Danio rerio: one gene and its partners. The protein of the gene in region 4 purifies or fractionates together with the protein of the main gene of each other region. This does not show direct contact. Links are inferred from orthologs where the notes say so. Each region holds a gene or a part of one and is shown on either strand. Other genes may lie near its edges.

The links.
Region 1: the proteins of csnk2b (region 4) and zc3h4 purify together in Homo sapiens (affinity purification with mass spectrometry; 3 studies listed by BioGRID and IntAct, with this or other methods). This does not show direct contact. The link is inferred for Danio rerio from reciprocal best matches to the Homo sapiens genes CSNK2B and ZC3H4.
Region 2: the proteins of csnk2b (region 4) and rnf111 purify together in Homo sapiens (co-immunoprecipitation; 3 studies listed by BioGRID and IntAct, with this or other methods). This does not show direct contact. The link is inferred for Danio rerio from reciprocal best matches to the Homo sapiens genes CSNK2B and RNF111.
Region 3: the proteins of csnk2b (region 4) and rps6ka1 purify together in Homo sapiens (affinity purification with mass spectrometry; 4 studies listed by BioGRID and IntAct, with this or other methods). This does not show direct contact. The link is inferred for Danio rerio from reciprocal best matches to the Homo sapiens genes CSNK2B and RPS6KA1.
Region 5: the proteins of csnk2b (region 4) and eif3ja purify together in Homo sapiens (co-immunoprecipitation; 3 studies listed by BioGRID and IntAct, with this or other methods). This does not show direct contact. The link is inferred for Danio rerio from reciprocal best matches to the Homo sapiens genes CSNK2B and EIF3J.
Region 6: the proteins of csnk2b (region 4) and cep170aa purify together in Homo sapiens (affinity purification with mass spectrometry; 3 studies listed by BioGRID and IntAct, with this or other methods). This does not show direct contact. The link is inferred for Danio rerio from reciprocal best matches to the Homo sapiens genes CSNK2B and CEP170.
Region 7: the proteins of csnk2b (region 4) and nkapd1 purify together in Homo sapiens (affinity purification with mass spectrometry; 3 studies listed by BioGRID and IntAct, counting the BioPlex papers as one, with this or other methods). This does not show direct contact. The link is inferred for Danio rerio from reciprocal best matches to the Homo sapiens genes CSNK2B and NKAPD1.

Annotation. Positions count from the first base shown.
Region 1 is NC_133190.1:26,185,575-26,189,743, forward strand, and holds the start of zc3h4 (zinc finger CCCH domain-containing protein 4), read right to left. Parts: upstream 2,801-4,169; 5' UTR 2,576-2,800; coding exon 2,496-2,575; intron 1-2,495. Other genes in the region: sae1 (SUMO-activating enzyme subunit 1), read left to right, coding at 4,142-4,169. UniProt on the Homo sapiens protein: RNA-binding protein that suppresses transcription of long non-coding RNAs (lncRNAs). LncRNAs are defined as transcripts more than 200 nucleotides that are not translated into protein.
Region 2 is NC_133182.1:30,566,672-30,570,171, forward strand, and holds part of rnf111 (E3 ubiquitin-protein ligase Arkadia), read right to left. Parts: coding exon 3,375-3,500; intron 1-3,374. UniProt on the Homo sapiens protein: E3 ubiquitin-protein ligase. Required for mesoderm patterning during embryonic development. Acts as an enhancer of the transcriptional responses of the SMAD2/SMAD3 effectors, which are activated downstream of BMP.
Region 3 is NC_133192.1:28,543,685-28,547,952, reverse strand, and holds the start of rps6ka1 (ribosomal protein S6 kinase alpha-1), read right to left. Parts: upstream 2,801-4,268; 5' UTR 2,311-2,800; coding exon 2,248-2,310; intron 1-2,247. UniProt on the Homo sapiens protein: Serine/threonine-protein kinase that acts downstream of ERK (MAPK1/ERK2 and MAPK3/ERK1) signaling and mediates mitogenic and stress-induced activation of the transcription factors CREB1, ETV1/ER81 and NR4A1/NUR77, regulates translation through RPS6 and EIF4B phosphorylation, and mediates cellular proliferation, survival, and differentiation by modulating mTOR signaling and repressing pro-apoptotic function of BAD and DAPK1.
Region 4 is NC_133194.1:29,146,038-29,149,579, reverse strand, and holds the end of csnk2b (casein kinase II subunit beta), read left to right. Parts: intron 1-230; coding exon 231-333; intron 334-587; coding exon 588-703; intron 704-790; coding exon 791-866; intron 867-1,710; coding exon 1,711-1,900; intron 1,901-1,982; coding exon 1,983-2,073; 3' UTR 2,074-3,042; downstream 3,043-3,542. UniProt on the Homo sapiens protein: Regulatory subunit of casein kinase II/CK2.
Region 5 is NC_133200.1:34,325,564-34,329,833, reverse strand, and holds the start of eif3ja (eukaryotic translation initiation factor 3 subunit J-A), read left to right. Parts: upstream 1-1,470; 5' UTR 1,471-1,562; coding exon 1,563-1,584; intron 1,585-1,721; coding exon 1,722-1,810; intron 1,811-2,280; coding exon 2,281-2,338; intron 2,339-3,582; coding exon 3,583-3,674; intron 3,675-4,083; coding exon 4,084-4,201; intron 4,202-4,270. UniProt on the Homo sapiens protein: Component of the eukaryotic translation initiation factor 3 (eIF-3) complex, which is required for several steps in the initiation of protein synthesis.
Region 6 is NC_133188.1:11,503,063-11,507,047, reverse strand, and holds the start of cep170aa (centrosomal protein of 170 kDa), read left to right. Parts: upstream 1-1,185; 5' UTR 1,186-1,282; intron 1,283-3,985. Other genes in the region: sdccag8 (serologically defined colon cancer antigen 8 homolog), read right to left, coding at 610-673.
Region 7 is NC_133190.1:24,175,129-24,179,334, reverse strand, and holds the start of nkapd1 (uncharacterized protein NKAPD1), read right to left. Parts: upstream 2,801-4,206; 5' UTR 2,717-2,800; exon of another isoform or gene 2,419-2,716; coding exon of another isoform or gene 2,316-2,418; intron 2,081-2,315; coding exon of another isoform or gene 2,031-2,080; coding exon 1,962-2,030; intron 1,888-1,961; coding exon 1,811-1,887; intron 1,726-1,810; coding exon 1,570-1,725; intron 1,218-1,569; coding exon 1,164-1,217; intron 1-1,163.

The DNA of each region.
Region 1 (4,169 bases), on a different chromosome or scaffold from region 4:
ATGCAACATTGTAATTTAGTTGTGTTGAGAATCACACTAGGGGTGTCAAATGTTCAGTGCTCATTTGTGCATTGCTCAAAGCAACTCTGAGTCACTACAGAGCCACCCTGTTTATAGAAGATCTAACATATAGGTTGTATAGTAAGCAATTATAAGGTTTAGACAGGACTACACTTCAAAACAAAGATAAGGAGCAGTCACATAAGACAGAGAAACATTGCTGCACTTTACAGTGCGCATTGACAAAACATTATCAATTAACCCCTAAACTTTACTCCTGAAAAAGGAAACTTCAGGAAAAGGATTTGCTAAAACATGAACCTAAATGCAAAGCCATGGATGAGATATGATTCAAGATACACAAGTTTCCACAAGTATCAACCAACTGACACATTTACATATTTATATTGTAGTATATTTTAAGTAACTTTAGCTAGTTTAAAAAAAGCTTTATGCTATTAGTAATAACAATAAAAAATTAGTCAATTTGCCAAACTTTAAAGACAAAACTTTTACATTTAACTAATAATATAAAAAACTCAAAATCATTATAAAAATACAAACTTCCTCATCAGTGGACTGTAAGAACCATATCTTCCATGGCTAAACTCAAGTTATCTGTTCTTCTGAACAGGTAATGTTTTTAAAACAGTACAGAAAGAATCAATTGGTAAATGGTCACTAATGATTAACTACAAATCCATTCATCTCTATGTCAACAAAAATATTTCATGGGTATTATTAGCATGTTGTGAAACAAAATATAGTTACATAACATAGTGGGCTCTCAGTAAATAAGGAGACCACCTTTTTTAAAAACCTCATTTGATTCTGTAATTTTTCATTCTAATGTTTTTGAATACAATGACAAAACAATAGGTTCAAACAAAATTATAAATGGGGCTCCCTCGCATTATTTACTTGTCAAACACACTTTGAAATAAATAACATCTGACAAAAGCAAAAAAAAAAAGTATGTATACAATGTAACAAAAATGGATCTAGCCATAAGGTGTTGCAAGAAATTCTTGGCAAATTTACAACTAACTTAAAAAATAATAATCATTCAAAGTATGTTCACTGTATGTATGCAAGTAATAAAAGACAATTGCATGCAAAGATATATAAAATAACTTGGCCTGTACATTTCTGGCAATACTTACTGTGAAATACTTATGTATGCATAAGGGAGGTGAAAGGTTGCAGTTTGGGCAAAATGGTTAACCACTTTTGTGTTCTGATAAGACCTTGAATGCTTCTGAGACATTGAACAGCACTGGACCATGAAGGGATGCATGTGTACATTAAGCTAACTAAATTACAATAAAAGAAGTGTATGAAAAACAGGGACACCTGTTGTGGCATATTTACTAGATTAATAACAATTTAACATTTATTTCTACTGTCAACAAATTAATTCATGTGGAGGACTAAAAGTAACGGCATTTAACCAAATTAAAGCCCATGAAGCTTAAATGTAAAGAAACCTAAAACATTTTTATAATCCGAATCAACAGGCATATGTCGTGCTACTAATAAGACATAAATATAAAATAAATATTTAAAATAAATAAAATCATATACTACATTAATTTTAATGTACCTGTATGTTTTAACAACTTATTTTAAAAAACAAAAGCGGATGAGTTATGATTACATAGCTCCTATTAACGTTAAAACACAAATGTAACGCTCAAGCAACCAAACCCTAAAGGAATAAAAATATTTAAGTTATTTTAGTGACGTCTCCAATAAATCTATGTGCGTAGCTCGTGACACTTAGCATAAGTGCTAAGCGCTAAAGGGAGACAAATTATCATCCCGAACTAAAATTTGCGTTATTACGTTAAGATAAACTAAATCGTATTGCATTCGATGACCAATTAAATAAGGAATAATTAATCAGACGCCAAGTTATAAACCGTGCTAATCCGTCGCTATTCATTAGCTTCCGTTAGCCGTGTTTTGTTGCTAAACTGTTGGCTAACTGTTAGCACTGCTAGCTTTAGCTCGGTCCAGGCCTCGCGATGGATAAACAAATTCCTTAATGCGTAAAAAGGGATCAGTTTTACCACATAACATACGGTTTGCGTTGTGGTAATAAGTCGGAGTTTAATTTTAGGTCTATAACAAAAAAAAATTAGCTTGTGATTTCTTTTGTCCATCTGTTCTTTATCTGTGATGAAAACACTGTTACAGGATCAATGTTTTGACGTAGGGGTGGCCCCATGGTCTTCGATCACTAAAAAAACATTAGAAAGTGACTGAAAATGTCAATTTGATCATATTCTGAATGTTTTCCTGATTCGCTTGTGACCTTCCAGATTGCGCTGTGTAACGTTTCAAGATGGCGTTTCGTTACCTCTGTACGTTTCCCAGAAAAGGCGACTTTAATCCCTTTGAAAGAAAAAAAGCAAATGCCCGTGCTTTTTGTTTTTGGAAAAAAGCAAAGGACAAATCAATAGTTGGATAGAAATATGATGATATTACTCGACCTTTCGTCAGTGAGAAGGCTGTTGTGTTCGTGGTTGGCTGTTGGGGAGTTTGGATGGACAGTCATGCTTTCCACAGCCATTTCCTCTAACGTACTACATTCAGTGCAAAAAATCAACTGTCTTATGCGTTACTTGACTTTGATCTACTTGTTGATTGGCATTAGGAAGAGATTCAGTTCATTGTAGTCAATTCCCCCCTAACAGTTTAAAAGAGAAACAGGTTGAAAACGTTCCTGAGGTTCTCCGTCCTACAGTTGCGATGTGAAATGAAACTCATTCTCTTAAAATGGCGACGCTTCTTCTCCGAAGAGAATGGGCGGACTTACGTGACGTCGACTGTCACGGAAATGACCGATCGGGTCATGAAAAAAAAACACTTTTTTTTTTACTCTAAGGGTAATGTAATAGTTAAAATAGTATATATTAACTGTAATCATGCACATAATATCTTAATATAAAACGTTATTTTTATCAGTATTTATTATTATTATCATCATCATTATTATTATCATTATTCATTGTATTATTACTGTTTTATCAAAAAAGGGGCCTTGCAGTTAAAATATATCAACATTGCATTATCTTTGGTATCATATGTTTCAATACCTATTCTGGACCTATATATATATATATATATATATATATATATATATATATATATATATATATATATATATATATATATATATATATATATATATATATATATATGTATATATATATGTATATATATATATATATATATATATATATATATATATATATATATATATATAATTGAATATAATAACTCTAAAGTATCAGTTTTATACAACTCAACTTTTTATTTGATTCTATTTTGCAAGCACAGATCTAGAAAACAATCATTTAATGCTATTAATAGTGATCTACACTCCAATAAATATAATTCTGTCACGTTTATGTTTGCTTAAAACCATTATTATTGTAAATTATACTATTACATTTTGTTTGAAATTAAAATCTTATTTTGCCAGTGATGGGTTGCAGCTGGAAGGTCATCCGCTGCGTAAAATATATGCTGGATAAGTTGGCGGTTCATTCTGCTGTGGCGACCCCAGATTAATAAAGGGACTAAGCTAAAAAGAAAATGAATGAATGAAAATCTTATAATGATTGTCAAATGATTTGTCAAATCCTTTGAGAATATTTTTAAAAATAAAGAAGACTCTATATTATTTATACTCTTTATTATTTAATGTCTCTTAAAATAAAAAGTACTAATTTTCTTTTTTCCATTTCTTTGCAAGTAGACTATTATAAAATAGTAAAATGCACCATTTTCACTCATATCTGGACAGAAATTTTAAGTTAAATTAACACCATGAACGGACCTTTGCTCATAAAATTATGCATTATTAAAAATTAAATTCATCATATGTACATGACATATTTTGGTGACACATTTAACGCTCGCTAGATGTATAAAGGATCCCTGATAAATGTCCATTGTCGAGCTCTGATTCTGGCACACATCTCCTGCGTCATCATTGCGCGCCTTTACGAGTTTCACTAAGCGGCACTTTTGTCCCATTGAATGGGCAATAGAAAAAATAGAGCGTAGAATAGTCCAACTAACCCGTAGTTAATTGATTACAGCTTATCATCAGAAATACAAATATTCCGAGATGATCGATACCATCGAAAAAGAAGACA
Region 2 (3,500 bases), on a different chromosome or scaffold from region 4:
GTTTTCTTATGCAAGGATAAAGGTGTTTCACCAATCGTTGGAAAAGGCAGCTAATAACACATTTTATACAGTCGATAATCACAACCTATAACTAACAAAAAATAATAATAATAAAAATAATAATAATATATATATATATATATATATATATATATATATATATATATATATATATATATATATATATATATATATATATATATATATATAAAGATTTCTAACAACGAGGCATCATCTCAGTGATATGATCTGCATTTTTAGGAAGCTATTAGTACATTTGAGTGTCATGACAGACTAATCACATGTACGCATGAAAACATGCTGGTATGAGTGAGTGGCAAGGTTGAGGAACAGCAAGAAAAAGAAAAATCAGATGAAGCACTAGACCACTAGTTATGTATGGCAGGTTCTTTGCTGATGCACTGCTAGCTACAGATATTAACACATTTCTGTGGTTTTATCAGCCGATGTATGTATATTCAATTGAGTGGTGTAGATCTCCGTGAGAAGGGAATGTGTGAACGGTAGAGAGAGCATTGAGAGGGCTGGGTGAGGACTTGCTGTTGCTCAACAGGAAATTCAAACATTCTGTAACACGCACAGAATGACTTGCACAAGCACAGAATGATGCTGACGGCTGTAGCCATCCCTCAAAAACAAAAGAAACAGCTACAACATAAATCTCTTAAAATATGCACAGTTTTGACCAATAAACAAGCCTTTATTTTTTTAGTAGCATTACTACTTTTAGTATTAATTTTGAATGCTTGAAACAAAATGAGAAAAGTATTTGAAGTTTTGCTAATGTGTTTGAGAATGTAGCTGTTTATATCCCCACCCTTTAAAGGGGGAGGTGAAACTTGCTTACTTCAACAACATACAACTCAATTCGAATGTTTATGAAAAATATAATCAAGGACAGAAGCAGAAGCAAAAATGCACAATTGATCTCCTGCTGTGCCGTTTCTGTTTTCAGACGGAGACCGCATGCAGCAAAGTTGAGTCAGTAACGACTTTAATATTCCTGAAAGATGCTCATCATGGCAAAATGTATCTGATCAAATGTACATGTAAAAAAGTTATACTATACTTTAATATGTTCAAATATTACAATATTTTGGATTTTAATCATAGCACATATCTTTGGACTGTGGGGGAAACCGGAGCACCCATAGGAAACGCATGCGAACATGGGCTAATTTTTTTTATATCTCAAACTTTACTGAATATCACAAATGCAAAATAAATTATTTACAAAGACAAATTGTGTACACTCACTCCAATGAGTTAATTTGCTACTTAAAGGGCCATTCACATATATGCAATATTTTAGATAAAAATATATAAATAGTATTTTTTGCAGTTAAGTCTGGAACTTCAAATGGAGAAACAGGGCAAGCTTCTATGTACTACAACAATTCTGTAATAAGGGTAATTAGCACATACACATGCTAAGCACCCAAGTACACTGTGTATGCCTTTATGAATTTAAACAAATGTTTTTGTTATTTAATAAATAAATCAATCGCAGGGGTTGAAGAGAACAAACAGTTGAGATATGCGAATTGCCTCATCATTTTGAACCTGTGAAAGTTACGATGTGCAAATAAAGTTTGCCGTCTGAACGGTGGAACTAAATTATATACAATAAATATGTCGATGTGCTTTACTTGATAAGTATTTATGCAGTTATGCCTTAGAACAGGGTGTCCAAACTCGGTTCTGGAGGGCCGATGTCCAACAGATTCTAGCTTCAACTTGCTTGAACAGACCTGGGGTGCGTTTCCGAAAACCACCGTTAACCAACTAAGGTCGCAAGTTCTGTCATTACAAATATGGTTCATTAATTTGACGTTTCCCAAATCCATCGTTTCAACGAACATTCACAAACTGCGTCGCAAACTATTCTTGCAACTAAACCTCTGGAGCTGTAATTAGAAACATAGTTCCTGACTGTGTTCTATTCCCAGTTATCCCCCCTACGCCCTATTCGTTTAGAACATTCTAACATTTTAACATGGAATGATTTTTTAAGCATTAAAGTCATCTCTCGTATGTGTCATTTGCTTTTAAAGTATTTTTACAGTTCAGTTTTAGCAATCTTTAGGTTTACAATTGCGCTCTATTCGCAGTGCACTTTGAAAACATTGATGCCATATTGAACACAGCTGTGGCTCATGGCGAAAGCTATAGGTGACATTGTTTTAAAGTGGAATTTATGGTACATTTCCAAAGCTTGTGAAAACAAAATATATAGCCTTTGTTAATGTATTAATTTATAGTAATAATAAATAGGTTATTTATTAAGTATCTGCACTGTATCTGACAAGGGCCTGTTAATTATAACATTTCTGCAGTGGCTTGCATGTGTCAAACTATAAAAGTAGACTTTTCAAAAATAAATAAATAAATAAAACAATATCCTACTACTAAAAACAATAATAATAACCATCATCGTCATCATCATTATAATTATTAATATTATTTTAGGAGTGATTTTTTTTTATTTACTAATAAATACATAGTGCTTTTCCTAAATGATGCATCGTGCTATGATAGCTCAGCCGAAAGTCACAACGTTGTTTGGGAAACGCACCCCTGCATGGAAGTTTCTAGAAAGCCAAGTAAGAGCTTGATTAGCTAGCCCAGGTGTGTCTGGTTGGGGTTGGAACCAAACTTTGCAGGACACTGGCCCTCCAGGACCGAGTTTGGACACCCCTGCCTCAGAACATGAAAGTAACATTCTCTCTTGAATTCAGATCCATGTTAACAGGACAGATTAACATTTGTCTTGACCTCAGCTTTTGACGTCAGATTAGGGGCGAAATCTAAAACAGCATAATTTCAGACACTGCTTCTTATTTAGGGAGCTTATAAAAAAAAGAGGGTGGATTTGACCTTTATAGGCTGGCTGTTTATGCACACTTTGGACACACATTAGTGTTCAAGCAACATGTAAAAGTGATTTTTGGATGCTAGGTCTCTTTCAAATTTGCAACTTGAGTTATTCACCACGAGTACCCACCTCTGCTATATAAACAAAAAAAACAATGGTTCCAGTCCTGGATGCTGATTGGGGAATAGAGTATGTTTTTCTTCACAATTACAATAACAGCCTTGACCAGTTCAGTTGCTTGAAACTATTGGTGGGTTCATGATCGTTGCTGAATTGTGTCAGTATATAGTTTTAATCCAACTTTTCTTAATGCAAACAAGGAAAAATTCAAAGTCATTTGAAAGAATACAAGCACTCTCATTCAAAGCAAAGTAGTCACCACAAGGACAAACTGTGAGCTCTCCGTATCTGTATACTTCATTTAAAAACAATAAGTTGCGGTGACTGGGAAAAATAAAATAATAAATAGCGGATTTACCTGATGCCACAGCCGCAGTACTGGCTTGGCTGCTACTGCTGTTAACATCCACATACAGTTCATGCTCTGCCTCAGTGGAAGAAGGAGAGGAGTCATCAGAGGTCATCTCCTCACTGGAGCTGCTAG
Region 3 (4,268 bases), on a different chromosome or scaffold from region 4:
CTTTTTAAAAGGGGAGGAGCTTTCCTGCCCTGTTTTCAAGTTTCATTTGAAATTGTCACACACCAAAAATGCACATTTCAAAGCACTTCACAGGACCTTTAAACCAAGCTAACTTAATGTGTACTGATACTTCATGATTCTGTAAGCATGAAAATATATACACCAAAATGCTGCAAGTAATGTCAGATTATCAAAACAAACATATCAAAACTAGCAATAGATCTATTTATTTGTAAAGAGTCATGTTTTGACTGCAAAATTGCACTTATGTTGAATATAATTTGATGCAAATGGCAAAATGCCCTTTTTAAAATAATATCAGACAGAATAGGCAGGTGTGCATTTTACATACATTTACATTTTGACGACACATTTTTTCTTCAATCTAGTAACTACACACTTTGTGTGTCTGGGGTCCTTTGAGCACTAGCAGCATGTGAAAAAACTAAAACCTGTCTTTTTCAGACAAATTAAGTGGTGTGACTTCCTGTGCTTAGTCCTTTGTTCAGCGAGTCTATATCAGGAAGAAGCACTTTAAGATCTTGTGGTAGGCTACTTGCAGAAATGCTGTAGCAAGATTCTAATCAGTAGAGCTTTCCTGCTAAACTTATATTAGATTTTTTTCTGATCAGTTCTGCCTCTCGTTTTCATCTGCAGAAGTAATTTCGTTCAAATGACTGAGAAAACTGAGAATGTTTCTGCAGCAAACCTGCTGCCAGTTGATTGGTGGTGAACTCATTGCGCAGGTGAGAGAGCAGAAGGCAAGGGAAAATTAAAGTTAATTTAATCTCAAAATTGCACAGATTACACGAACAGGAACAAAAGAGTAAAATACGCCTCTTATTGTGATTCTCAAATGAGATCAACATTAGTCTGAGAGCAAGATAAGAAATTAAATCTTCTTCCTTCCATTCTCATTAATCACTCACAGAACATATTGTCTCTGCTTGCCTTGTAGTTGCAAACTTGGCCTGCAGCTGAATTGGAAGAGGAAATTCCAGAGCTGTACAATGCAAACGTCTTGACAGTATTCTGTGATACAAAACTCGAACTGACTAGGAGTTTAGCTCTCAGAGATGTCAGCACTGTGGTCTGTCACCAAAAGATACAAATCATCAAACTAGCATATTTGAACACATATCGCAATTTAAATCTTTTAAAGGAAAAAACACCTAATTTTTTTATAACCAAGCATGACAATTTATACTGCAGATACGAGTGGATGCTATTTGATTTTGACAATGTAAATATTAAGTATTTATATGCCAATAATTTTATAACATGTTTAACATAAAAAAACACTAAAAATTGTGTTTTTCTTATGCACCACAACTAAAGTTCAGAAATACAAAAGAGCTCGATAACTCGAGTGTTGTTTCCCAATGCTTCTTCTGACCTTAAACTGCTGTATTATTTATTTGATTTTATGACATTTGACATGTACCCCAGAGAAGAGAACTGCACAGTGAAAAACTGGAAAACAGCTGCTTCACTGAGCACAACAAGAAAACAATATTCTTCCGCTGGAGTTTAAAGATGACACAACTGCAGAGTCATTCCCTAAAATTGGTTCATTTTTCCACGCTGAAAATGTGATTTTATGTGATTTTCTGATTTAGAAAAAAGGTTATGAATCACTGAAGTGGTGGCATGTTTTTGGATTATACTTTCATGCCACATTATTTAAAATCTAGATATAATTGACTTTTTTCCAAAGCAGCTGTGAAATAGCATGAACATGATTCTTAAAAAAAATTATGGTTTTCATCAAAAAAGAAACTTGAAAACATGGTTGATATTCACACTGCTATCATTACAAGGCTACGACTGACATCCAAATGAAGAAGGTTTATGGGTCTGGTGTGTGTGTGTGTGTGTGTGTGTGTGTGAGTGTGAGTGTGAGTGTGTTTAAGTTAGAAAAAGATTATTTGGTTAAAGTCATCGATTATGAAGGTCACCTAGGCACTTTTTTATGAAACGACCCTCCAGTATTAGGAAACATCTGACCTGCACTACTTGAGCGCTGCGCGTCCTGCTGGCGCTCCAAAAGAACAGAATAAAGACCCTGACCATCACACCTGCACAACTCTTTAGTTATTTTGCACAAAGTATCACATTTCTAGACGACTGCTGTATTTCTCATGAACTCCTAAAGTCAAACACGTGGACCTCTGGCACGGATAGAGCAACCTAAAGGGCGCACATTAAATCAGTTAATTTTAGTGCTGTGATTTCACCACCTCTCACCTCCGTCTCCAACTGCACCAGCTCCATTTTGGGCCATGGCTCTGCCAGTTGAGCAAGAGGCATTGTGCACGCTCCTTCTGTTTGTCTCAAGTCCTCAAATTTGAATGGGAATTTCTTCCGAACCCGTGTATTTCCTGCTGGCACGACCTGATATGTCCCTTTGGGTCAGGAGCAAACGGGCGACTTTCCTTGCTTACAATCCGCGCAGGACGCGCATAATCACTTCGTAGAAAAAGAAAGATCAAAGCTGTTATTCCCGTTTAAATGACGTTGACGGATTCTCCTCTCAGTCCGGCTAGGAAGAGGAGTTGCACAGCCCCGTTCCTGGAAATGAACAAATCTCTCAGACACGCGCAGGTGGACTCGGCTTTCAGAAGAACATGCACTGCGCGTCTGCGCCGATCAATCGCGTCTCCTCCGAGGAAATCCAATAAGATGTGTTAATGCAATACGGTGGAAAGTGTCTTCTGACACTGACTGTCGGTGTGCACACAGACGCTGCAAAGAGGAGCCGATGCTGTCAGTGTGTTCTCCTCTGAACCGAATCCACAGTGTAAAAGCTTCAGCCGATCATTGGTTTGAAGACAGTTCTCGGCCAGCCCCTTTTCCAAACACTCTGCTTACGCCCCTCTCTGGACCTGTGCTGTTACTGCAAGGCAAACTCTAAAGCTGCACTGACAAGGGCTGAAACTTCTAGCTCAAATTTACAGGTTGTTATATTCAAACAAACTCTCATGTAACTAATAAAAAATCCTCTTCCAAACATACAGTAGTTTAATTATTTTGCGGTCTCGGCGTGGATTTATCGGGAAATTGCGTTCAAACCTCATACACACGTGCGTGTCACGTCACCTCACACAAATAAAAGTATGTCCTGCTGTCCATAGCTTAAAATTTAAATATATTTGTGTCAAAGTTAAAGAGGCCAGATGAAAACACTTCTTAAACTCCTGGAGATCAATACTTTTTGTTTTTAAAAATTCCATTTGTGTCTGAAAGTACATTTCACAGAGAAGACTCACAACAAAAACAATTATCTTCCTCAAAACTCATACAATTTTGTTTTGTTTTTTAAAGTTAGAAGGACAAAAGTAACAGAAAAAGATACATTTAGATGGAATTTTGGGGGTTTCAGCAAGAACTGATAAATCAATCATGTTCACATGACATTAATTCGTCAGAATTATGTGCGAATTTAAAGTATTGGCTATGTCACAAAAATTCAGATTGAATTACAGACTTTGTGTTTTGTGTTTCAGTCCACACTCTCATAAATTTGTCAACCAACTTAATCAATTTGTTAAAGTCTAATCAAAAAAGTCATCAATTCATAAACTGGGTTCTGAAATAAAAAAATCTAGCAGTTTGATTATTACACGTTTTTCAGGTGTAAGATAACATTTGGATGTTTTTTATCACTTAAACAACAACACCACCACCAATTTCCTATAAAATATCTTTTTAACTGCATTTGACTGATATGAAAGCATATCATCCCAGGGCATTTCTCAGAAAAAAAAAAAAACTTCTCAACAAAAGAGAGATTGATGTAACAAAGTATTCCCCATTACTGGCACAAGTAGCCTATCTCCTTTTCCATCATGCTAGGAATGCTGTTCGATGTTCTCAATTGTAATTGTCTTGTAGGCTTGCCCATTTTGTGGCGAGGCAGTGATATGCCAATACCTCTTGACTTTTTATTCTCTCAAAGGGAGCAGAGAAGAGCAACTGTTGCTTCTCGCTGAGAGTGGTTACCACTGGCAACCACAGACCATCTGCCAGCGTGCCGGTGAATCTGTTGCCAGAGTAAAACAGAGTATGAATGGCCGCCTTTATGAGATGGTAGTGGGAGGATATGGAGTGTGCATTGGTAGAGGACCATGTTTCATTGAGTCAAATGATGGGACAAAGTACAAACTGATTTTAATGGCACTCAAATACACTAATGATAATGTAGGGCTTTGTCAGGCTAAACTGTGACATTTAAAAAAAGGCATCAAGACTAAGACCTGCAAGTGTGG
Region 4 (3,542 bases):
ACCGCAAGTATATTTGAAATCTGTGGGAAGCACTTAAAGTGGAATAAAATATACAGAACAAACCACCATCTGTCTGTCTAGCTAAAACAGCATCAAAAACTCTCTGAAACTGCTTTTTATATAAAAATAAAGCAGAAATCAGTTTTTTTGTTTAGTTTTTTTGAACAATTGTTTTATTTTCATTGATGCATTCCTAATGTGCTTTGCTCTTTTTCTTCCCCTCTATACAGGTGGATGAGGACTATATTCAGGACAAGTTTAATCTTACAGGACTCAACGAGCAAGTTCCCCATTACAGACAAGCTCTGGACATGATCCTCGATCTGGAACCTGGTCAGTCATTTAGTTTTTCTACACAATCCCACTTTTGTGCCATCATTATGGTCAGCATTTCTTTTAAATAATTCAACCTTAAGCTTTAATTAAACGCATTAACGGCCCAACCTGTCACTTACATGAGACTAGCCAATAGCTAAACCAGCATTCAGTCAATTGCCAATGGATGACGTCAAGTCCTGCCAAATATTTCTTGTTCTTGTTGGAAAGCAGTGTCATGTGAATAGTGAGATGATTCTTGTGTTCATCAGATGAGGAGCTGGAGGATAACCCTAACCAGAGTGACCTGATTGAGCAGGCTGCTGAGATGCTCTATGGGCTGATTCATGCTCGCTATATCCTCACTAACCGTGGCATTGCCCAGATGGTATGATCTCCTTTTCAATTTTTTGAATCATTTCATTTAAGAAAGATGTTATTGTATTGTGACATGATGTGCTGTTTTCTCTTGGAGCTGGAGAAATATCAGCAGGGAGACTTTGGCTACTGTCCTCGTGTTTACTGTGAGAATCAGCCAATGCTGCCTATTGGTGAGTGCCTCAGCCTGTTTTGTGCATGTTATTTTACCAACCCAGTTTTCATGTAGTAGAAAAATGTATAAGGTAAAAGTATTTGCAGTAGTTGCATATTGACATACAATTATTTAGTTGATTAAATATAACCATTTAAACGACACATTAATATTAATAAAAATAATAAAGAATATGTATCATTTGATTGAGCACTGTAGGCTCTGTCTTTAAAAGTTTTATGTAGGTCTATCCTTATATACAGTTAAAAACAAGTCATATTTTAAAATATTGGCACAAAAATCTGTACTTGTTTTTAATTTGTCATTTATTTATTTATTTTAAATGTATTTTTTATTTAAAAATAAATGTTTTTTTATTTTTAATTTCACCATGTCTTCACTTTAGCATTTAAGCACAAATATAATGTAACTTGTACACTGTATTTCACAGCGCCTACTTTGCTGATTTATTTCATGAGCACAACCGTTACTGCATGTTAAAAGCCAAAAGGCGGATTAAAACACAAGGAGTAAATGTGGAAGACTTGTGATCTGACGAAAGAGTGTAAACAGTGGAGCCTGTAGCATTAGCTGGCCAGCCAGTTCAGTTTGTTTGGTTTGACCCAATCTTGGGTTTTAGGTAACATGAAGTCAGCTCAATTTTAGTCCCTCTTTGTTCTCATGGTACTATGGAGCATATAAGCTAAGCTACGTTCATGCTACCTAAAACCCAGAATTGGTGCAAACTTAACTGGCTAGCCAGCTAATCTGGCGTTATGGTACAGGCCGCTGGTCTTCAGGCAGTCCATTGTTCACATGAGCTCCACTGAAACTTGAAGGAATGAATCTTTTGCCCTCTCCAGGCCTCTCTGACATTCCCGGCGAGGCTATGGTGAAGCTCTACTGCCCCAAGTGTATGGATGTGTACACGCCGAAGTCATCCAGGCACCATCACACTGACGGAGCTTACTTTGGCACCGGCTTCCCTCACATGCTCTTTATGGTGCATCCCGAGTACCGGCCAAAAAGGCCTGCCAACCAGTTTGTGCCCAGGTTTGTCCTTCCTCCTGATTTTCTCAGATGAAGTCTACAGTTGTTCAGTTTGATCATAGTTGTTGTCTTTGTCCTCTTTCAGGCTTTATGGTTTTAAGATTCACCCAATGGCTTACCAGCTCCAGCTGCAGGCAGCCTCCAGCTTCAAGAGTCCCGTCAAAGCCATCCGCTAAACACCTGGGATGGGATGGGATGGGGTGGGGTGGGATGTCGGGTGGGTTGTGTGTCCGTCAACAAGGGCTCACTCTTCTCCTTCGATTTGACCGAGACTAACATTTAAATGTGGAGAGAGTGAGACTGTAAAACACTGGGGAGAAACTAAAAGCTTACCTCTGAAACACTGTACAGAAAATGAGGTGTTCCTTGTAAAAAAAACAAACTTCTTTCAGTTCTCAACCTCCACATAGAAAATAAAGATCTACTTAAAGATAGATAACTGTAGGATGGCTCTGCTCGCTCTCTGGTTACTGTTTGTTTTAGTTTGCTAATGCTAACATATAAAACAGTCTTGAATTGATGTCTTGTCAGTTCTCGGCATGGTGGATGGTTGGCTTTGAATGTAAAAGTAGGGTTGATTGGTCATCAAAACCCCATTTAAATTGGCTCAATCCCCTTCTCTGATATTTGGCTTATTGAAATAAAAAGGAAGGCTGTTGCATGATATATGCAGTATGTTTTGGGTTTAAGTGACGTCGCTGGGATTGTCTTTGACTGTTTTTTGTTGACAGACTGCAAGCTTTCACCGCATGCATAAGATAAGAGCAGAAATGGGAAGACAAGTGTAATCAGGAAACGCCATCTTAATTCGACATGTTTTTGTTTTAATATTTGGTACTGCACTCTTCTTCAGATTGACGCCAACCTGCTGCGTTCCTCCAGTGTCCAGATTCTTCAGACAAATTTGATTAGATTGACCAGAGTTAGGATGTTTTTTATGTTTGGTATGGGCCCAGGTTTTTCTTCTCTTGTTTAAAGTATTTCTTCTGGTAGAGAAGAGTCAGAGTAGAAAATATAAAATGGGTTTAAATGCATTTCTTTTGTGTGTGCTATTTCTTTTCTTTGATCCTGTTGAATGTTTTTTTTCCTTTACAGCTATTGAGGAACCAGGGTTCAGAATTCACAATAAATGTCTTTTCCTACAACTTGTGCTTGAGTTCTGCATTTTTGTAATCAATGTAAACTAAAGAAATCCCTGACCAAAGTCAATTTATTTTAGAAAGTTTTGCATTGCCTGCTCATTGTGTATCAAACTTGCTGAACAAAGCTCTTTATGTAGATGTCAAACAAAATACCTACATCATAATGAATGCAATATGAGGGAAAACCATGAATGGACATTTACATTGTCAACTGCATCCGTCTCAAGTCCAAACTAAAGCAGTCAATAAACAAACATAGGCAACCTGCAACAATAATTTGTACTTTTAGGAACAATATAAGAATACAGAATAAAGAAAAGTGCTTTCTTAGTAATTCAGTAGAAAATTTGTAGACATTGATAACGTCTCCTGACACCTGACCTGACCTGACACCTAACAAAAGGGTTTTAATCAATTATCCAATCTATTGCATGAAGTATGAATTTTACCCTCCACATGAGGTATGGATAGTGGCGTGTAAAAGCATCTTATTAATGTAGATT
Region 5 (4,270 bases), on a different chromosome or scaffold from region 4:
AACTTGTGACACACTCCCTATATTGTTTACCACGGCACTTTGAATATTCGATCTGAAAAAGCTGCAAGTGTGACTTGAAAACAACATTAGCACTGTTTATTTGACTGTGAGCAATGTTCTACTTCAATAGTCATTGGCGGCTAATATGATTTTGCTATTTAGAGTTTGCAAATAATACTTTTATAAAATTATATTATTAAGGAGAAAGTCAGAATGTGTGAATATAAAACCAACTTTACCTCTATGTGTAAGTTAACGTTGGCTCCGTCTGCTTTCCTTGTCTTTGGCCAAGCAGAACCTCTGTTTTTAGCACTACATAGTTTTGAATCTGGTAATCATGGAACATTATTTCTTACACTTATTTCTTAATCTTGTTAAAACACTTGGAGCTTCGATGAGAGAGTTGTATATTTGGGGCAGGATGCTTGGCCATTTCGTCTTATCCAATATTCATTGGGAGGGTGCTTTCGCGACTCACATCACTCACTTTAACGTTAATTTTGCCAAATCACTGTACTTATCACTGGGTGACAAGCTGTTATAATACGTTGAAAGCATTATGTAAATCATGCATATATATATATATATATATTAAAAAAAATAATATATATATATATATATATATATATATATATATATATATATATATATATATATATATATTTATATATATATATAATAATATATATATATATATATATATATATATATATATATATATATATATATATATATATATATATATATAATATGTAATCAGTATAACTTACTTCTAAGTCAACAAACTCCGCATCGGATGTCATTCCCTCGCTGTAAATGCTAGCGCTCCCCTTTTTTTTCTGCCACTCCCTGCGCGCGCATCCTGAATGTTTAAAAACATGGTAATTCGTCTATAAGGTTCCTTTAATAGCATCGATGTTGTAATGTAATTGAAATACAATCAGTTTAATAGACTTAATCATTTATTAAGTTGTTTAAGTGTAAAACGAGATGAACGATTGCGTAAACGCAAGTGTCATCAGTAGAAGCGTGCTAGTGCAGAAACTCCACAGAAAATACATTTCCATATTTTAAAGACATAACGCAAGAAATCAACTTAATGCAGTACTTCTTGTCCAGTCTAGACCAACTTTATTTCATATATCAATCAGGAAGTAAAGATCACATTAAAAAAAAGAATTCAGATCTTAAAAGTCAATGTACATATACTCAATTTAATTGGACAAAATCAGTAGTGCAGGATGAGTCAATATTTTTGTTTGTTTTCTAGAAGCCGCACTAGATCACACACACTACACAATCTAATAAAAGTTACAGTTAGCAAACAAATGATTGTCTTGAACTAATACACAATCTAAAAGCCACAAAACGACATTTTATTTGATTGTGTGTTAAAAAAATTAACAATGTCTGATAATGGTATTCCTCATGGTACTGCACAATTTACTTGTTTGTAAAATTTCCCTACCGTCCATCGGTGGACCTTTATTTTGAAATTTCCGGAAGTCTTGGTGCAGTGAGTTGAGCTTCACTCTCTCGTTCCCCTCAGCGACTCTGACATCATGGCGGACGCCGATTCTTGGGGTGAGAATTTCTTAAACTCCACCGTTATCTTTCTCTTCTATTCGCTTGGAAACATATAATCTTTTCTACCAGATAAACGTACGCCAAAAATACGCCTGTCATTAAGTGATCTGTCTGAACAATCGGTCGTTTTCCAGATGCGGACAGTTTCGAGCCTGAGGAGCCCATCAAAAAGGCGGCAGTTCATGACAAATGGGAGGGCGAGGATGAGGACGACGACGTGAAAGTTAGTAACGAACCCTTAATTTGTCGTTCTCAAGTAAAAAAAACTGTTTTAACTCTTCTTTAATCCCTACATATCAAGACATTACAGTTGGCTAACTTTAGCTAGCTACTCTTGCTAACTCAAGAGTGTCAAAACAACGTGGTGATAAGTCCTAATACGTGTCTATTTAGTTTGGTGTATACCTGCTTAAATACGCTGTCATAAGTTAAACAGTGAAATTATAGTAATTATATGAGTCAGTTCCATTTCTCTAGGCCTTTAATTACAATTAATAGTTTTGTTAGTGTAGATGGCCTTTTGTAGCAGCATGTCACTGTAGATTGTCACCTGTTGATTATTTAAAATTATTGGATCATCCCAAGGAGATTTCATAAAAGGAAAGTTTGAGAATGTTAATGCTTCTCTTAGGCTAGCAACGAAGATGAAGTGGACTAATTTATTAATTAAAAGTATTCTTCCTTTCCATTTAGGATAATTGGGATGATGATGAAGAGGAAGAAAAGGAGGAAGAGGAGGAAAAAAAGACAGGTACAGTGATGTTCATGAGTTGGGGGAAAAGTGCATTGTTAGGATAAAATGGGGTCAAAGGCCAAAAAGGATTTTGAAGCATCAAAGCATATGTTGCGCAGTGACCATGAGGCTATCAGTGAAGAACAATAATAATTTGATGATATATTAAACTATTTAAGCAATCACGTTGAAGCCTCAAAATACTTACTGTCATTTTTAATCTTTGTAATTTCGCCTTTGTCCTTTAAACCAAGTTCAATTACTTATAAAGCAAGTTTTTAAAGTACATAAAACTAACTTTATACAAAGCAAAAATTATTTAAAAATTTTTTTTTTAATAATAATAAAGTATTGAGAAACCAAGAGAAATACTAGAACTACTAGGTTTTATCTATTAGTATCTATTTACCATAGATTTTAATACTTTTAAAAATTCATAAAGTTTAAGTTAATTTGTTTTAAGTACAGGTCAAAATAAGTATACATTACACTAAATGACGAGAAACCCTTTTCACAATATTTCGACATGCTTTTTTCACAAATAATATTTGAAATATTACATCATCTCATTTGACATGCTAACTGTGTATATCTGCACACCAAAATGGGACGTCTGTTATGAATTTTTTTATTTTGTAGTTGGCTCTATAACTAAATAAATCTACATGCATGAATATACAAACTATTTTAAAAATATTTTTTTAAAAGACTGTAAATTATCCACATTTAAATTCACATAATTACAAAGCATCTGCAGGGTCCTAAAAGTCTTAAATAGTCTTAAATTTCAACTACATTTTAGGCCTTAAAAACTCCTAAATTCACTCAAATATTGTGTTTTAGGTCTTAAATAATTTTAAACAGGTCTTAATTTTGTTTTGTCCAAGTAAAGTTACTCAACCGAAATCCATCCAATCATCCACAATGTGTCTCAATAAAACCTTATTTTTTAAATTAAAGTTTTTTTTATTGCAAAAAGATACATTCCCAACAGCTGTTAGCCATTTCTTACAGAAAATTCCCCAAATTAAATGGCCTAATCAGGAGAAAAAAAAACTAAAAATGATTACTCAATTCCTCAGGACAATACCAGGCCATTAGGATAAATCTCAACCCTGCATAAGTCTAAAATGTCATTCTTAATGTCTTAAAGGGGTCTTAAAAACTCTTACATTTGAATGGATGAAACCTGCAGAAACCCTGATCAGGTACTTCAGTTTGTAACGTTTGTATGCGATTTTGTTTGGATTTTTCATATGCAGAGGCTAAACCTACAGAAAAAAAGAAACTCAGTGAAAAGATAAAAGAAAAGGAAAATTTACAAAGGAAAAAACAAGAGGAGCTCAGAAAACAAGTAAGTTGGCGCAGTAACAATTTATTGATATTAAGCACATTTAATTCACATTGTGGGTTTTTATTTTTTTATTTTGCTGTCACTGTTGAAGTTTATCTTGATATGGCTACAAACTTTGAACTTGTATTATAACTATAACCATTCATGAAGGATTTTGGGGTAAATATATCACAGTTTTAACAAAAAATATATAGCTGATTATAAAACATTGATGATAAGTGTTTCATGAGCAGCAAATCATATTAGAATGAGGATCATGTGACTGCAATAATGATCCTGAGATTTTGAGTTTGACATTTCAGGAATAAATTAGATTTTAAAATATATTATAGTACAACAATTATTGTAAATGCTATTCATTTTGTAAGAATATTTTTCATTAAATGTATACAACATTACATTTTTAAAGCAGTTAGAGGAGACAAAAAGAGACACACCACTCACACCAGAAGATGAACTGGCAGAGAAACTCAGAGTGAAACAACTACAGGAGGATTCAGACTTAGAACTAGCAAAAGAGGCATTTGGTGAGTGCTTTCTGTATATAACATGCATCTACATTTGTTTTTAAAACGGATAAAAGATTCAATTCTGAA
Region 6 (3,985 bases), on a different chromosome or scaffold from region 4:
TGCCAGGCTTCCTATATTGTTTACCATAGTACTTTGAATATTCCGTCTGAAATCACATGCAAGTATGACTTAAAAACAACATACTATTTATTTGACTGTGAACAATGTTGTACTTTAATAGTCATTGGCTGCCAATATGATTTCACTATTTGGAGTTTGCAAAGAATACTTTAATGAAATGATATTAAGAAGGATAAAGTTATAATGCGTGAATATAAAACCAACTTTAGCTCAATAACTAAAACACGTGTGAAAATACACATATCTGAACTCAAATATTTAATATTTTCTAAATAATATTTTGAAACAATTTATGATAAAAATAAAGTATAAATACGTATAGGGACTATAGCATCTTGGTTCAGGGGATCTGAAAGGCTGAAAACTCCTGTTTTTATTATATATTGGTAAAAAAAAAAGTGAACATTTTAGCTAACTATATGCTAATGTAAAGAGTTTGGTACAGTTTCACACACACAAAAAAAATTATGTTGCAATGTATAACACCCGGTCAGAAGCTCATTGTAAGTGTTTAGAAACTGGTCATGCTGCACACTATTGTCGTTTTAGAAGAGCAACACAGGCTGAAATGCAGCATCAAAACATCACCTCTCAGCGTCTTCTGCAGTGCTCCTAATTCCTCTTCCTCGTCTGACTCCAAGGACGGTTTCATTGTTGCCTAAAACGCTTAATGAACGCCAATGTTGTTTAAAACAAACAACACAAATTCTCTTACTCGATACTTCAACAGCTGCAGTATTTTGTTATCAATGAACAGCGTCCAAAAAGACGTCAACGGTTGCATGGCAGACGAGCGCTTCCGTAAACCGCTTATAGGCAACTGGAACTTGTAGTTTTTACGATATCAAATTCGCTTGGTTAGATTGTTGAAAAAACTACAATGCTGTAATTTCCGCTAAGCACAACGTTCTCGTAGAGAGTTTTGTTTATTATCGAAGCATGCTTATTATTGTAAACAGCATATTTACAGCCAAAATTCATTAACAGTCAGTCATAAAAAATTTATATTTATGAAATATTGATGCGGAATTCATTGTATGAGGACACGCCCACCGGACTGTGTTGGAACTGCAAACGCTGTCCTACTTGCCTGATTCCAGGCTGCCGTATGTCGCCGCTATTTGTTAGGAATAACGTTATTGCTGCTGAGCAACTGAGGCAAATAGGAGACGTGGGGATACACACTGGGCTGGGCTACGAAAACCGTTTAGCTGCTGCATTGAAGCCCGGGATAAAACTGACAGCGAAAAGAAGAACAAGGGTGAGTGAGCGATTTGATAATAAAAAGAGCCGTTCTTATATTTCGTGCATGCAACGATGAAGCGTTTATTATAAGGCTAATGTATTGATGCATTTGGTCGTGTTCAACCTTTTTTTTCGCACAATGCTGTGGTGTACAGAATCCATGCTTTTCCCGTGATCTGATCTGATCGTGTGCTCAGGATACCGTAGATGTAACAGCAGGACACTGCTAGCCGGGTCGATCAAATTGAATGAACACTGCCTGCCTTTATGTGTGGTTTTGTATCAATGTTGTGCCTTTCAGTGTTCGCGATTCTTAAATGACTTATGTTTTCATACTGTGAGGTATTAATGTATGCTTTGATATCGAGTTTGATTATGGGTGCGCGTTGAGGAAACATCACTGGTCACCAGTTTCCCTAAACGCGTGGCATCTTGCTTACTATTGTAATATTAGCTCTCGATCGCAGCGAAGCACTAAAAACATCAGTAGCCTATTTCAGTAGTGGACGTCGGATGGGTAGGAGATGTGGATGATTTGCCGGGTACTGGTGCACACTGTGAAGGGCACTGCGCAGAATCCTTTGTTTTGACAAAGGCTCTTGTTTTGTTCTGGTAACGTTACATCTGGCCTACGTTTGTTTTGATTGCAGTATTATTATTATTATTATTAAAATATTAATACTTTTCAGCTATGCAAAAGGTTTATACGTGCTATTAAATGTTTTCTGCATCCGTATTTTATGAGGTGATTATCAAAATAGGCAATCTTATTGACAGTGCACTGTCTAGTGTGGTTGATTAAGTGTAGATTAATAGTTAAACAAAGGTTTTTGTGTCATTGTTAATTTTTTAGAGATTATTTTTAACATGTTATTGATACTACAATCTTAAAACTGTATATAGAGTAGGCATGGGATGATAACCGGTTTCAATGTTTACCACAGTTTGGAGAAGTCTGTCAGTCTGTCAGAACGTTTTAAAACCATCATGTTTTTCTGTTATACCATTTCTAAGGTATATGTAAGTTTTATGTTTTTAATGTTTTTAAGACATTACTTAGAAATTATACTGGATATTATATTTAGTTTTTTCAGGGTGGTATCTCGGTATATCCAGCTGAAAAAACCCTCCAAGTCTAAATGCTGTTACAAAATATTTTCAAATGTTTCTTAAAATAAATATATTGTGTTCAGTGGAGAAAAAAAAGTATTTTTTTTTTTACCCAGACATTTAAAAATAACTTATTTTAGAGCAGTAATCACAATACTGTGATTGCATGAAACAGTGATGCTTTCATTCAAGGTTATAGGTTACTGTCAGAATATTATACCGACCCATGCCTAATATAGAGACTGTCTTAAAAACTTTTTTGGCAGCATTTTTGAGTCACATTAAGATATTCAGTGAGCTGTGTGTTTTTTGAACTTTCCTGAAGAGCGGGTTAAAATGACAGTTTACCAAGAAATAAAATGTAACATGCTTATTAAATTACCCACCCTTAGGTCATCTACACTGTAAACGATTTCTGTTGTTTTCACAGTATTATACTGCATTTCTCAACAGTTTTTTACTGTATAAGCTGTGCACAGTGTGTTACTGTATATATTGTTGTTTTCACAGTATAATAATGTATTTTCAACTTTTCTATACTGTGAACATGGTTAACAGTATGTTACTGTAGATTTTATAATGAATTTTGGGGAAAAATCTGTTACTGTGTATCTAAATACAGTACTGCAAATGACCAAGAACAACTCCACACACACTATATATTATGATTATTATGTTTATTTATTTTTAGACAAATAATTTTGTGAAGTAAATAACCTAACCAGTTTCTTCAGACTGTTCAGTGCATTAAACTGTCCCCTGGTTTTCCATTTTTGGGTGCACTTTATAAGGCAACATGGAAATATTAAATAATATTTAATAAACATAACTTTGTGCTAAACCAAAACGTAAATTGGAACAAAAATAAATTGATTCACGTAACCAAAGACTGTTAAACACACAAAATGATTTTAAAGTCAGCTTAAATGTCAGAGTGACCAACCTGCTTTAGACGGATTCAAGAATATTGGGCACCCATGGGCCACCGTAGAGGTCACATATCTCCGCATTTTCAAAACAACATTTTAAAATACGCACTATCTTAATAAATAAACCACAGAATTGAGTTTAAAACAACTACATTCTCGCATGAAAAACGGTTAAAACTTTATTTCATAACACATTTATTATCTAGTCATCGAAGACAGGGGATGTCTCAATAATGTCTAGGCCGATTAAAGCATGAGGTTTGCCGGATACATAGTGATGGAGCGCCGTCATCCCCTGGAGGTCAGAATCTCCCCTATCGGCAAAGCACACTTAAAATTAAACATGATATCTAAAAACAAACCACAGATTTGAGTTTGGAAGAGCTACATTCTCGCATGAAAAACAGTTAAAACTTCATTTCGTGACATATTAAACGCAATATTTATGATATGATCTGGCTTTTCTCATCCGCCATTACGTTATATTTGCTTGTTGGTGTGAAATGAACTCTGGGAGAAAAAAATATTAATTCTCAAAACACTTCAAGCGAACCTTATTCTTATTGTTAAAGTCAGATATATGTAATATTTTCGCTGGTAAAGTGAGAAGAAAAAAACAATATTACTATTTTATCAATATCACGTTTGCACTGGTTCGGTTCAGCACACAAACGACACCG
Region 7 (4,206 bases), on a different chromosome or scaffold from region 4:
CTTTAGAGTAACGGTTTTATAACTTTTTAAAAACATTTTCATTTGATGGTGGCAATGTTTTTTTTCTCTGGATTAAACTTTATAAATAAATGAATTAAAATTACACAATGTATAAATAAAATATATTCTCTTTAATAGTTTATTTTAAGAATAAAATGTGATTTTATAACAGGAACCTGTCTATTAACAAGATTGGTAATGATGGTTACACTGTATAGCAGTTAAAATGTACATAGATATTGGTACAAGGAAACAATACATTTTAAACTTCAAGTGAAGCTGAAGAATCATCTGATGGGGTGAAACTTTGTTATAGTTAGGAATTGTTAATGCAAACATCTATAAATGGTTGAAGTACAGTTGGTTTTATATTCGCACATTCTGACTTTCTCCTTAATAATATAATTTCAAACAAGTATTCTTTACAAATTCTAAACAGTGAAATCATATTAGCAGCCAATGACTATCAAAGTACAACATTGTTTACAGTCAAATAAACAATACTAATGTTGTTTTGAAGTCACATTTGCATGTGATATCCAACAGAAAAAAGTTTTTTTAATAATATAGATAGCTTGTCACAAGCTGTCTCTAGGTATGGGCTGGTATAAGATTCTAATGGTGTGATAAACTTGGATAAAAATATCACGGTTTCTCTGTATTGTGATTACTGTGATTTACAATATTTTTGAGCAATAAACATGTCAGGTTAAACAATTCAAACGAATCATTGACTTCTGATGCCTTCATTTGTTCATTGTTCATTCATAGTTTCGAAAACACAGATTTCTTTACAACTTGAAAAGGGTTAGGAGATTTTGGAGATCTTTTCTGCTGGAAACTTTTGTCCTAAAAATTACAACAAAACATAAAAAAATAAAATAAATAAATATATATATTTTTTTTTTAATTCTTAAAATTGTAGCAGAAAATGTTGGCAGGTTTAAAACATTGACTTTTCCAAACCATGGTATACCTTGAAAACGGTTATCATCCCATGTCTAGCTATCACTGAAAAATGTGCAAATAAAAAGGCAACTTTCCCTCAATCTATAAATGTTCAATTTCGCTGTTAAATACCACATACTTTCTCCAACCTTGCTCAAAACCTACAACAATATGCTAAACATTCACTCAAGGGTGGAAGAAGAGCTTCTTCTTACCTGTCTGTATGAAATTCTTCTGGATAAAGCTCCTTAAAGCCACTGTGGCCCCACCTGAGAGAACACAACATGTTATGCCTTTTGTTACAATGTTCACAGTACTCAAATAGATTAGTTTAACTCGAATGGTTTGTAGTTTCCTCAAGCAGTTTGAGCTGCCTTAATCTATTGGCTTTTACAGTACTCAGTCGGTTTGAGTTCACTTAATTTATTGGGTTTTACTGCGCTGAAATTGCGGCGTTTACTCAAGTGGATTAAGTTCACAGTACTCATTAGGATTAGTTTTTGTACTTAAATGGATTGTTGCAATCGGATTTCTCAAATGGTTTGAGTTACCTTAACTTATTGGGTTTTACAGTGTACAAAACAGTTCAAACATGACGAGCACAACACCAACCAGCACTACCTGTCAGGATCATTGGCTTCAAACTCATACAGTTTGCGTGTCCAGTATCGTGCCTCCCTCTCATCTCTCTCAGATACATCGTCTCTCCGCTCACCCAGCCGGTCTCTCGTTGACCCTTCTGAGTCGTCCAAATAGCGGTCACAATGCATGCTGCCCCTAAATGACCATTACACATTACAACTACTGAGAAACACACACCGTGAGCACAAATAAAAGAAATGTTGAGCCGCATGTGATCCACCTGTGCTTTGGGAAATGAGTGGACGAGGTATGTCGTTCAAGATCCCTCAACTTCCACATCTCAGACTCCTCTTGAATCTGCAGTTTTAAGTTGAATCAGATGACTTTCAGATTACATAATTATGAAATATTGTGTTTAAATTGTCACATACCTTGTTATGTGCATCTGTGTGTCTGATGACATTTCGGAGTAGAAGTTTACCTAAAGACACCTTTGACATGGATACACCTAGGAAAAAGGGTTTAAACACGAAGTGTATGTAAGGCACAGCTTATTGAAATACTTGTACAGAATATACATACATACATATATATATATATATATATATATATACATATATATATATATATATATATATATATATATATATATATATATATACATATATATATACATATATATATATATATATATATATATATATATATATATATATATATATATATATGTATACACACACACACACACACACACAAACACACTTCCTTTTTTCTATATATAGTACAAATATATATATATATATATATATATATATATATATATATATATATATATATATATATATCTGTGTGTGTGTGTCTGTGTGTGTGTGTATTCTGTTCAAGCATTTCAATAAGCAGCAGTGCCTGTGAATCCAAACAAACACAGGCTGATCTTATTGGTTAATTTACCAATACAAAACCCAAAGATAGTGTACTAAAATAAACATTAGTCTTTGCATGCTTTGTCCAATAAATATAACTGTTAGGAGCTTTACTGACATTAGCATCACTTCCTCTAACGTTTTCCTGCTGGCCAAGAACCCTTAGCTCGAAAGATTCATTTCGTTAAACGTTTAAGTTAGCCCTAAAATTGTAACGACCAAGCAAAATGGTGTTTTTTAAAAGGAGTAACGTGAGAACTGACCTTTCGCTTATTCAATATATTTTTAAATGTAGTGAGAGACGTGAACGTGGCACCAAAACAACAAACAGAACGTATCAACTTCCTGCACTACATCCGCAGGTTACTTTAAAATAAAAGTCTCAAAACGTATTTCACAATAAAAGGACTATTTATCAGATTAATCAAGGAATGTTTTTAAGAAAACTTGTCTGAAAACAAACATTTTGTATAAAATTCAGAATAGGCCCATAATTTTACACACTAGCGCACTCAAACACAGGCTTTTCTTCAACTAGGGCCACTGACGTTTATTAAAAAAAACTTGTTCAAAAGTCACCTACAGTCTCATAAGTTTAGTTAATATGTCTAGGCTTAAGATCTGTAAGAGGAAAAACTTAGATTACAAGAGAAATTGTTAATATTTCACATTAATTCCAACTATTTGAACATATGTCATTTCCATCACATCTCAAAACACAGCGGTTATTTAACAATTGAATAACTCAGTCAATACCACTCAAGAACTGATCAATTTTATAACTAATTTTACAGTATTTTTACAGTCAGTGTACAATATTTATTCATTCATTCATTTATTCATTTTCTTTTCAGCTTAGTCCATTTATTAATCTGGGGTCGCCACAGCAGAATGAACCACCAACTTATCCAGCATATGTTTTTACGCAAAGGATGCTCTTCCAGCTGCAACCCTTCACTGGAAGACACCCATACACACCTATTCACACACATGGACACTTTTGGCTCACCTAATTCACCTATAGCGACTGTGGAGGAAGCCGGAGGACTTGGAGGAAACTCACGCAAACACGGGGAGAACAATCTCCAAACAGAAACTGACCCAGCCGAGGCTTGAACCAGAGACCTTTTTACTGTCAACAGCGCTACCCACTGCCCCACCGCACTGCCCTCAACATACATTTTGTCAATAAATTAAATTTACTTCCCCAGTGACCAAATGCTGAATTATTGTCACATTCTGAAATGTAATATTAGTTTAGGTAAAAACTCATTAGAAAATAAATAAATAAATAAATAAATAAATAAATAAATTTTTTATATTAAATAGAATTGTGTAATAATATCAATTGTGGATATTTTTTAATATGTGATGAGAAATAATAAAATATATTTAAAAAATGGTAATAGAAATAATAGGGTGTTGTGGAAATGACAATGACAGGAGACACAATAATATCTTGCAACATTTGGTCACTGGGGCTCAGGGATAAGGCTTATGATTATTTTAGGGCCAGAAAAGTCAACCCTTCACAACCCTTCTACTGTCCCTATATATTATACCATATTACCATTATACTCTTTGATTATTTTTTTCTTTTATTGCCTTGGGTTGCATCTTAAAACAGACCATCAGTTTTTATAAAAATAATTTTCAACCCCAATTCCAATATTACACAAATCTACTCTTGCAATCCATATAATTTGTACTTTGTAACCGTAAATGTAATTTGCATTTGTCAAAATGGTTGTCA